Linked DNA regions of Cricetulus griseus. The main gene of each other region encodes a partner of the protein of the gene in region 3 in a complex. Links are inferred from orthologs where the notes say so. Each region holds a gene or a part of one and is shown on either strand. Other genes may lie near its edges.

Evidence for each region.
Region 1: Cnot9 (region 3) and Cnot6l share a complex: the UniProt entries of both Homo sapiens proteins name them as parts of the CCR4-NOT complex. The link is inferred for Cricetulus griseus from reciprocal best matches to the Homo sapiens genes CNOT9 and CNOT6L.
Region 2: Cnot9 (region 3) and Cnot6 share a complex: the UniProt entries of both Homo sapiens proteins name them as parts of the CCR4-NOT complex. The link is inferred for Cricetulus griseus from reciprocal best matches to the Homo sapiens genes CNOT9 and CNOT6.

What each region holds. Positions count from the first base shown.
Region 1 is NW_023276807.1:158,440,459-158,444,111, forward strand, and holds part of Cnot6l (CCR4-NOT transcription complex subunit 6-like), read right to left. Parts: intron 748-3,653; coding exon 520-747; intron 1-519. UniProt on the Homo sapiens protein: Has 3'-5' poly(A) exoribonuclease activity for synthetic poly(A) RNA substrate.
Region 2 is NC_048600.1:64,155,599-64,159,351, reverse strand, and holds the start of Cnot6 (CCR4-NOT transcription complex subunit 6), read left to right. Parts: upstream 1-935; 5' UTR 936-1,306; intron 1,307-3,753. UniProt on the Homo sapiens protein: Poly(A) nuclease with 3'-5' RNase activity.
Region 3 is NC_048595.1:427,767,006-427,770,658, forward strand, and holds part of Cnot9 (CCR4-NOT transcription complex subunit 9), read left to right. Parts: intron 1-1,743; coding exon 1,744-1,853; intron 1,854-2,815; coding exon 2,816-2,925; intron 2,926-3,653. UniProt on the Homo sapiens protein: Component of the CCR4-NOT complex which is one of the major cellular mRNA deadenylases and is linked to various cellular processes including bulk mRNA degradation, miRNA-mediated repression, translational repression during translational initiation and general transcription regulation.

The DNA.
Region 1 (3,653 bases), on a different chromosome or scaffold from region 3:
CTCTGTGTCTCAGGAGGTTGATCTTGTATGGATACAAACCCTCACTTCCCTACCCCTATAGCTTCTATCTAGACTTGATTAATGGGGAGCCCTGGCAGATCAGAGCAAGAGTGAGAGAAGGGTTTATCTTCCCACATCTCCCTTCTTATTATAATCTGGCAGGCACTGATTGAATCATTCAATTCTAAGCCATCACCTCAATTATTGGCTCTCTTGTATACTTCCAATTTCTGATGACAGCTCCCACCATTTTCCCAGTTAGGAGTAGGAGTGGTAAAGTACAAAAGCAATCATTGTTTTTTTTTGTTTTTGTTTTTTTTTTTTTTACTTAAGACTGAACACTCCTTTGGAATCAGTCTCCTTATTAAATTTTTTCAATTAGTCACAGTCTCAGCCCTCAAATTCCAATTGATATGTTCTTTAATTTAGAAGAGAAAGCCCTGTTAGGAGATAGGTGGCCTTTCAACCAAAATTAGAAGCAAAACTGAAAGCAAGTAAAAAAAATGATGTTGTAAATACCTGAATCTGGCAATGAGTTAAGATCTGCACATAGCACCAGCGGGATGGAATTAGGATCTGCGGTTGGGCTGCCAGGCCTACTTGAGGCTTTCTCCAGAATGTTTTTAACCTCTGAGACAAACATCATGGTCTGAATAAGTTTCACATCAGAATACTCTGGGTCCCAATGCATGTGGGCATTTGCCACTATAAGCAGCTGTTTGTCTGCAGCATGAATAGGCTTCATACCTAAATTTAAACATCATAAAAAAGAAAATGTAGAGTTATGTTTATGTTTCTTGAGAGTAGTACCTTAAAAGTTCTCTGAAAAATATCCATTGCTACTTCTTTACTCTTTCCTATTAATTTAAACTGATTTTTATCTTGCACTTATCTGACAAGCTAAAAGGTAATTCTGGAAATTGCAATATATTAGTTATTCATCAGGGTCATGTTAACAAATGGCAGCCTATGGAATAAACCTGGGTCCACTACATATTTCTATTACAGGCTTTGTGAGCTAAAGGTAGTTTTACACTTTTCAAACAGACTCTATGTGGTCCACAGAACCTAAAATATTTAGTATCAACAATTATAGTACATGTTTATACTAGAAATTATTTCATAATATAATGAATATATGGGTTATAGTACTATTCATCTGCTGAGTTCTTAGCTTAAAGCAAACAAGTTATTTTAATTTTAAATGATGTGTGTATATGTATCGGAATATGAGGTCGGTACATGAATATAGTGCCTGTAGAGACCAGGATTTCTTGTATCTGAAATTAAAGGTGGTTGTGAGCCACCCAATGCAGCTATTAGGAACCAAATTCCAGTCCTCTGGAAAAATGAATGCTCTTAACTGCTAAGCCACCTCTCTAGTACCAAGCAAGCACTTTTAAGTGCCTCTTATTTAATTAGCATAATAATCTAGTGAGAGATTTTTCCAACTGAATTAACCAATACTTAATATCTTGCCACTACATAATATGTTACCTGTGTTGCATTTCACTAGCTTAATAGTGAAAGGTCAGTAGGAAAAATTAGTAACATTATATGAACCTACAGAAAATGAAATAAGGAAGCACATTTGTTACCCAACTGAATCCTCAAAGTTTATTTACTTATTTTAATTTTTGAAGTCAGGGTTTCTCTGTGTAGCCCTGGCTGTCCTGGAACTCACTATGTAGACCAGGCTGTCCTCAAACTCACAGAGATTGGGCTACCTCTGTCTCCCGAGTGCTGGTATTAATTAAAGGCATGCGCCACCTCAGCTGACCCCAGTTAATTTTAAAATGGAAACTGTGGGACTGGATAAAGGCTCAGAGCTTAAGAGCACTTGCTGCTCTTGAAGAGGACCAGAATTTGGTTTCTATCACTGACATCAGACTGCTCACAACTACCTGCAACTCTACTTCCAGTAGATCCAACACCCCTTCTGGCTCCCATGTGTACCAGGCATGTATATTGGGCACATACGCAGCCATGACCCTCAAAACAAAAATCAGAGAATTATGTGCTCTCAAAAGTCTGGATACTTTCATCTTTGACCTGCTTTTACTACTAATTACTTTGTGTGAATTCAGGGTAGTCAACCACTTAATGTTTTTGATACTCGAATAATTTGTAAAACGATAATTCAGCTATATATATATTCTTTTTTCCCTAAAATTCTGTCAAACATCAACATAGTACTTTTCAAAAGGTGGACATGGTAAGTAATAATATTAAATACAAATTGTGAAAAGAAAACTTAATAGGTGCTGGCGAAAGATGACCCTAAAACAGTCAAGGCATAAAATTAAATATTAATGGTATAATGTCACTTAACATAAATCTATATACACATATTTCAGATGTTTGGATTCATAAAAAGAAATGAGTAGGAGGAGATTTCTAGAGTGTGACTGACACAGGAACTTATTGCTTTTTAAGTTTATATACTTGTGAACTATTAAAGTATCAGTTAACATGCAAACCTAAGTTTTCTACAAGAATATCTCAGATTTTTCTACTGAAATAGAAACTCTAAAGAAAAAAGACAAATTTCTAAGTCTGATATTTAGGTAAAATTATTCTTCCTTCCAATCTTACTATATTTAATTTTCTTCAACATTGAGAAAATAAATTAATAAAGTACCTGTTACATGAAACTGAAGGAATAATTTACATTTTTTTTCTAAGCTGTCTCATTTTCCTAGAAGTTTTAGTGTCACTTATGGCTATAAGTGAATGTTTACTATGTTAAATATTAAAAACATGTCCCCAAAAAGCTATTTGCTCCTACCCACCAAATTCCCCTTCTAGAGGGATAAGGGATGTATCTTAGGAAGTAGAAGTGTGCAGTAAGTAATTCAGAATTACTCTTCTATAAATTAAAAAGGGATAAACCCCAAAGGTGTATATTTCTATAAAAGCAGAACAAAATATACCAGGAAGAAAGTGATAGGAAAAATACATAAAAATATTGAAAAGGCTAAAAACAAAAAGTAAACATGAAATTTCACATTAAAGGCTGTTTTTGTTTAACAACAGATAAACTGAAGAACTGTAGGAAAAAAAGGGAAATTTAACAATATGTATAGTCTGAATAATTCAAACTAGTACTCAAGACAGCCTTTTCTTCCACAGGCAGCACAGGGAGAGAAGTGCACTGATGTCATCTTACCACCTTGTTCTTGCCTGCAACATTAATAAGTAATAAAGTGCTCTGAGGCAGGCAGGAGAGAGGCTAACAAAAGATCTTAATAATGCCAAGCACACAACAGATTTCTGACTCTCAAGGAAGCTATGAATAATCTAAAAACCCTGGAAGTATCACATAGAAAATATGTCATTCTCACCCTGACAAAGACTTGAAATTTAACAAAGAAATTAAAGAAAACAAGCCAACTATTTCATATTAAAAACAAAGGGTTCACATTCACAAGAGAGGACTAAGCCATGGTAACTTCTAATTCAGCCTAACTAAACATCAAAGAACTTATTCAATTAATGGTATGTTAAAAAGGCAGGTATTACCTTGTTAAGTAAAAATAATGATAAAAACTATAGAATGTCAGGAAATCACAAGAAATAAAATTTGTAGAATTCATATTGTTTTCTTGTCCATCTCCATTAACAATTCTCAAAAGACAAGAAAATAATTTTGT
Region 2 (3,753 bases), on a different chromosome or scaffold from region 3:
AATAGCCACCCATTTCCTACAGACTTCGGTGAGGGACAAGCATTTATTTATTTTTTCCTTGTTAGTTTCTGGAAACCATTTGACATTCATATCTTTTGGGCTGATTTGGCACGAGGTAGGGGGCAGCTATTTTCCTTCACACTATATCCTGCATAGCCAGTGCAGTTTGTCTGCCGGATATTACTCTTGCCCATACACTATGCAACGCTGACTCAAGACAAGGTGGAGTCTGATTAATCCCTGAGCCCAAAATACCAGTCAACTATTATTTCCTGACGTAAACATCATTAGTCAGCCCGTTTCTTTCCTGGTTTACCTGCAACCACCGTCTGCAGGTAATAACCCAGAAGAGATAAGACTGTGTTAGCCTTTGAATGCGGCTATGGTTCGTTACTTAAAACTAGGACTTTATCATCAAAAACTCCTACTGATTATTTTTTTTTTTTTTCTGCATAGTTAGGGCAGAAACAATGAGTCGAGTATTCAAGATTGAACGTTTTGTCTCTGGGCAGATCAAGACACTGGATAGGTTAAAAGTCTGAGTGCTTATCTGTGCTTCCAAGTGATTGACAGGTCAAGGAAAAGAAAAGTGAATGGAGAGGAGGAAAAATCAAGGGGAAAGTGGAGATAAAAGTGAGCGAGAAGGGAATAGGGAGCAGCTGAAACGGCGTTAGGACGGTGTTAGGAAGAGGAGGAGACAGTAGGCGTGGAGAAGGCTAGGCGCAAAGAGAGCGGGAAGAGAGGCAGGGCGGGCGGGCAGGAGCGCGCCGGGCCGGCTCACTGCTCCGCGACGCGGGGGAACGGAGACGAAGATCCACCCCCCTGCCTGACGCGAAATGGTCGCGCCCAGCAGTATCCTCCAATGGGAAGCCAGGATGTTGGCAAGGCGGCGGTGAGCGGGGCTCTCGCTGGCTGGGGTGGGAGGGGGACGGCGGCCGCCGCCATGATGCTTGTTTGCTTTCAATGAAAACGAGGGGGGCGCGGAAGAGGAGGCGTCGGCGTCGGTGGCGGCGGCGTCGACGGCGCGGAGGCGAAGGCGGCGGCGGCGCGGGCGAGGAGGGCGAGGCCGGGGGCCGAGAGGGCGGCAGAGCGTAGCGGCGGCTCGTGGGGTCCGGGCGGCCGAGGCGGGCGGCTGAGGAGCGGCGCCTGAGGGGGGAACAAAGAGCGGCGGCTGAGGCGGCTGAGGAGCGGCGGCGGCGCTGCAGCAGCGGGCGGGACTGGTATGGTGGTTCCACAGGGCAGACCCCGCTGCACTCACCGGGAGGAGGCGGCGGCAGCGGCGGAGGAAGGCGGCGCAGCTCGAGAGGTGAGCGCGACGGGCTCTGCGAAGTCCCGCCGAGGCTCGGCTGCCTGCGCTCTCCCATCCCCCGGGGGCCGTGCCCTGGGGACCTCGAGCGCGCACTCACACACAACTTAGTAGTTCTCGGAGTGACGTCTGCCGGTCCCCCTCCTGGACGCCGCAGTCACGATCCCGTCGGTCCCCGGGCCGCGCCCCCGCGCGGAGTCCCGGGGCTCGGCCGGGGGTGGGGGTGTTGATTGACGGCAGTGTGGTGGCGTACAGAGGCGGTGGCGTGGGCCTGAGCTTCTCGGACCCCCGGTTCTGGCCATGCGCATCTGGAGAGGAAGGAGCTGGTGTCCCGGGACTCCGGGCCAAGACCGGTGGCAACTTCGGTGAAGTGGTTGTGTGGGGTGGCGCACTGTGCGGCGTGGAACTTGGCACTCCGTGGACAAACTTAGCGCTCACCTTTTCCTTCCTCGAGTATTTTAAATAAGTCATTTTAACGCAGATATTTACTGTTAGGGCGGAGCGGATTACGTGGCCAAAGACGTAATTATCAGATGTAGAGATTATTGGACTCAGGACTCGAGTACTAATTCCTTGAAGAAATTTTCCCGAGTTTAACTAAAGCGAACCTAGACTTTTCATGTTTGAACGCCAGTGGTTATTTTCTTTGGTAACATTCCCCCCCTCCCCCGCCGGCTTCCCCCCTTTGACTCTTTCTGCTTTGACATAGTCTTCGGAGTCTGCTCACAAGCAACTGTAATCGTTGCTTTTAACTGTTAACTGCAAGTGACAACATTGTGAACAACGTCTTGTTACTGTGTTTAAATAATCTGCTTGAATTTGAGTACAGGCAAACCTGTTTTGCAGGTAGACTGCCGGATTATTGCTAGGGCTAAGTTCTTTGTTGCCTCTGTTTGGGATTGTTTGGAGAAGAGAGGGACTACGAATTAAGCGAAAACCAATTTGGTGTGTAATAGCACCGTTTTCCACAGTTCCCTAGAATTCTCCACCATTCATTCCACAGCAATTCTGTAGGCAAAAGGTTGTGAAGACATATTTTGCTTTTTGTAATTGCTGCCAGCCTTTTGAATTTGATGCTTTCTAGAATAAACTTTAGAGTTAAAATTACATGGAACTAGTGGTCTAGTCTTACGCTGCCCATGAGGAAACCGAACCCTAGAAAGAATAAGATGACTCGACCAAGGTATTGCAGTGAGTGAGGGTAAACATCAGGCTTTCTGTATTTGTGAAGACATGTAATTGCGGTATAATTATTAAGTATTTTTTTTTTTTTTTGAGAAGAAAGGGTTTTAGCCAATAGATACTGTTTGAGGTAGATCAATGTGGCCATTTCTTAGTAAGTGCACAAGGTGCTTGCTAACATGGACAAAATGTATGTGACAAAAAGCCATTTTTCTTGTGTGACTGGAGATGTCTCCTTGGAAGTCAGTCCGTGTGTAACTTCAGATGTTTCTGGTTGCTGGGAAATTTCAGGCTTTTTTTTTTTTTTCTTTTCTTTTTTTGAACAGATATTATACATGTAATTTTAACTAGTATTTTGGTTAATGTTTAGGCATCTACTGTACCCATGTTAACTTTAAAAGAAAAAAAGATCTCTATGTAGTCCTTGTGGGCCTTCCTGTCTTTGTCTCTGGAGTGCTGAGATTAAAGGTGTGCAGTACCACAACTAAGTTTTTTATACAGTGCAGCCCAGAAAGGTAATCTGTGTAAGATACTGGAATAATGGTTGAAGCAGCTTATAGTTGTATTTTTTGGCCCTTGTGTGATGAGAGAGTAAAATCTTCAGTTCGTTTGCAACCCTCTCCTATGTGCAAGATCTTCTGGTTAGGAAACTCTGGCTTAGATGTTTTGTCACTTTTGAGAATGCCCACATATATTCATCTAAAAATGTATACTTAAGATTTCTATTATAAATATGTAGTGGTATTTGTTGTGGAGAAGAAAGTTCTGGTTTTAATGTTTTCAAACTTTAGTTTCTACAAAATCTTTTTGCTTTAATTGTGCCTGTTATCAGGCTGTGGAGGTAACCTTGTTATAATGAAATGTGACTAATAAACACTACATGTAAGTTAAGTGCAGACTAAACCCAAGTATAATCTAACTACATGTGCATTTGAGTACAGTGGAATGCAGTAGAGTTTGAGTTTGGTGTTTGAATAAGTAATTAAAGAAGAAAAGAATGGTCATTTGAGTCCAAGATGGAGGCTCATTCGGGCTGCCTTTTACCCTCTGGGTTTTACTTTTCTTTTGTCCATTTATATTTTTCTGATAAGTTGCACATACAGGAATAGCATGTGATGGTCCTGAGGTAGTTGATGAAAGTTCAGAGGTGACCATATTCGGTTTCTACTTTCCTGTCCTTCGTAGGAGTAATGGGTGCACAAAGTACTTCAAGGAACAGCAGAATGATTAAATTTATGGAGGTTGTGGTACCAGTTTAAAAAAAG
Region 3 (3,653 bases):
TTTTTGCAGCTGAGACTGGCCTCAAACTCTAATCGTACCGCCTTTCTCAAGGTCTGGGATTATAGCTGTATACCACCATACCCACGTTTCTCTGGTTTTCTTTGACATTGACATAAGTATTTCTTTCTTCTTTTTTATTTATTTATTTGTTTATTATATATACAATGTCCTGCCTGCAGGCCAGAAGAGGGTGCCAGATCTCATTACAGATGGTTGTGAGCCATCATATGTTTGCTGGGAATTGAACTCAAAACCTCTAGAAAAACAGCCACTGCTCTTAACCTCTGAGCCATCTCTCCAGCCCCTGACATACATATTTCTACACTGTTAAGTTTGACAGCTATTTTTAGTTTCTAGCTACAGATTTGAAGTAAGTATAATGTGTTTTAAAAATGAAGAAGAATACAATTCCATACTTTTTTAACATCATAAAAACAATTTTCAAAATAGTAATAAACACTCTGAACATAAGCGGTTCAACTAATTTAGTGATTTGCTGTATCCTAAGAGAAAAGATTTTGCTTGGTTACCTTAAAAATATTTTCTGTCAGTGATTCAATCCCAAATATGAAACCAGAGCTTTAAGCCTGGCATGGCGTGATGGTTCAGACCTGTAATTCCAGCACTCAGAAGGCTAAGACAAGAGGCTTGCTACAGAATGAGGCCCTGTTTCAAAAAATCAAAATTAAGTAATTATTTTATGTTCATTTCATTTAAATCAGAGTCATAGCTTTGAAGTTTTAAAGAGTGATGTTCATATCACAGGAAAGTAAATATATTTAGGTACATAGGCACTTTTTTTTTTTTTAATCATAGTAGACACCTGGCCATGATTGTTATAACCATTACATGGCATATAGTAGGAACTCAGTAAATTTATTTTTGTTGTTTGCGAGGGTGGGGGGGAGTTATTTTGTTGTTTTTTTCCTTCCTCTGTAGCTTGGGAGCCTGTCCTGGAACTCTATCCGTAGAGCATGCTGGCCTCGAGCTCAACAGAGATAGATCCACATGCCTCTGCAGCCGTGCCCCCTCCCCCAAGTGCTGGGATTAAAAGTGTGTGCCATCCACCTGTCTGTCGTGTGTGTGTGTGTGTGTGTGTGTGTGTGACTAATGTAGCTTCTCATGTCACTTTTTTCTCTCTTCTCCTTCTCCTCTCCCTATCCTCCTCTCCTCTCCCCTCCCCGCTTCTCTTATCTTTTGGAGACAGTGTCTCCAGGCCGGCCCCAAACTCATGATTCTCCTAATTTAGGAGTACCCTTGAGTTGTAGGAACTCAACAACATTGCAACAACACATTAGTTTTAGCATTTATGACTTGATCTTTTTTAAACCTAACATCGAGAACTTTTGAGTTCATCAGGTTTTAAGGTATTTGGTGCAGACTGCAGATTGTGTTGGTTTACTCACCCTAGCCTGGGTGGTTGTTACACATTGACACTTGAGCTGTCTGTATGATGTGTCAGTGAGGGCAAGCAGGTATGCTTCTAAGCAGTAGTCATCTCTGGCCTCTGACTGTATGCTAAGTAGCCCTCAACATTTCTTGCTTCTGATAATCTCCAAACATTGGCACATGTCTCCTAGGGAACAAAATTACACATTTCAGAAGGTTGGTCAAGGCTAAAAACCAATAAAGTTCGTTTCTAAAGATTACTTACTCTGGTGATTTCACGTATTGTTTTAGGCTTAGACATTTGATGTCTAGAAGGCAGCTCTGAGGTCTAAATATGGTTGTTTTTTCTTTCAGGTCGGCTTTTCTCGCAGCACACATCCCACTTTTTTTGTACCCCTTTTTGCACACAGTCAGCAAAACTCGTCCCTTTGAGTATCTTCGGCTCACTAGCCTTGGAGTTATTGGTAAGTTATTTTATTATTTTTGTTTTGATTTTCTTGAGATGGTCTCATGTAGTATAGGCTGGCCTCAAGCTCACTATGTACCTGAGGATACCCTTGAATTTTTTAGTTTCTGATGGTTTAACCTCCACCTCCAAAGTGCTGGGATTATAGGCATACATCGCCATACTTAATGCAGTGCTGGGGATTGAACTCAGGGTAAGACTGAAATTCTTCTGGTCAATAGTGGTCTGAGTTGTATTTTGTACAACTTCTTATAGCTTATTCATTTTTTGTCTTTGACATCTCATTTACTGATAAGTGCTTGCAAAGTTAGCAGGCACCATTCTCAATGTTGCTAGTAAAGCTGTAAGGATCAATAATCATTTAGCATCAAGTTATAGAGGGAGTAAGGAATAACTTGATCGATCAACTTTTGGGGGGGGGTATTTGAGACAGGATTTTCTCTCTGGCTTTGGGGGCTGTCCTGGAACTAGCTCTTGAAGACCAGGCAGGTCTTGAACTCACAGAGATCCTCCTGCTTCTGCCTCCCAAGTGCTGGGATCAAAGGTGTGCGCCACCACCACCCTATTGATCAACTTTATCTAAGTTGAATGAACTTAGTTTAGTAACTCAGAGCCTTGTATTAGGCTAGTGTTCTTAACACTGAGCACTTTCTCCACTTGCTTTATTTTTATTTTTTAAATTTTGACACAACATCTCTTTAATTTGCCGGGGCTGGCCTTGAACTCAGCATTTCCCTGCCTATGCCTTCCCAATACTGGGATTGCACTCATGACTCTGCTGCTGACTCTTTTTTGTTGTTGTTGTTCAAATGAATATGAAACTGATTGCCTGACACAGAAACTACAGTCTGCATATCATATTACTTAAATTCCATAGCTTGCTTTGATGGGACAGTTCATAGTAAATGTAATTAGAAATAATTTCTTTAAAATAATTTTGTTTGTTCATATTTTCTTTAGGGGCCTTGGTTAAAACAGATGAACAAGAAGTAATCAACTTTTTATTGACAACAGAGATAATCCCTTTGTGTTTGCGCATTATGGAATCTGGAAGTGAACTTTCTAAAACGGTATGTGCTTTTAAGTGAGATTCAAAATTGTTTTGGCTCTCGAGCTCTTGCTTTGTGGCTCTAGAATCATTTTCTGCCTCTCCTGGGAAGTTAGAGCAAAAAGTCAAGGCAAGCACTGATGCAGAGACCATGGAGGAGTGCTGCTTACTAGCTGGTTTCATGTAGTTTGCTCAACCTGCTCTCTTAAAGCTATGTAGCCCTTACTGGCCTGATACTGTATAGCACAGGCAGACCTCAAATTTGGAACAGTCCTGCCTCAGGTTCCTGAGGACTGGAATTACGGACATGCAGCACCATACTAGGCTTTGTATTTAGCTTTCTTGTATGATACAACACCTTGATCATAGTAGGCACACATTAAAATAAAGGTTCTTGGTCAAGGCTGTTAATGAATGATGTAATAAACTGGGAAGTATTTTTAAAATATAGGGATATGGCTGGAGAGGTGGTTCAGTAGTTAAGAGCACTGGTTTGATTCCCATCACCTGTATGGTGGTGGCTCACAACCACCTATAACTCCAGTCCCAGGGGATCCGTTGCCCTCTTCTGGCCTCCGTGAGCACTGATTGTACATGGTGTACAGATACACATGAAGGCAGAATAGACAAATCTTTCATTTAAACATGGAGCTAGAGAAATGGCTTAGTAGTTGAGCACTTGCTGCACAACCATGTTCAAATTTAGCACCCGTGTATCAAGCTGGACATCCTGTGTATACCTATATCCCA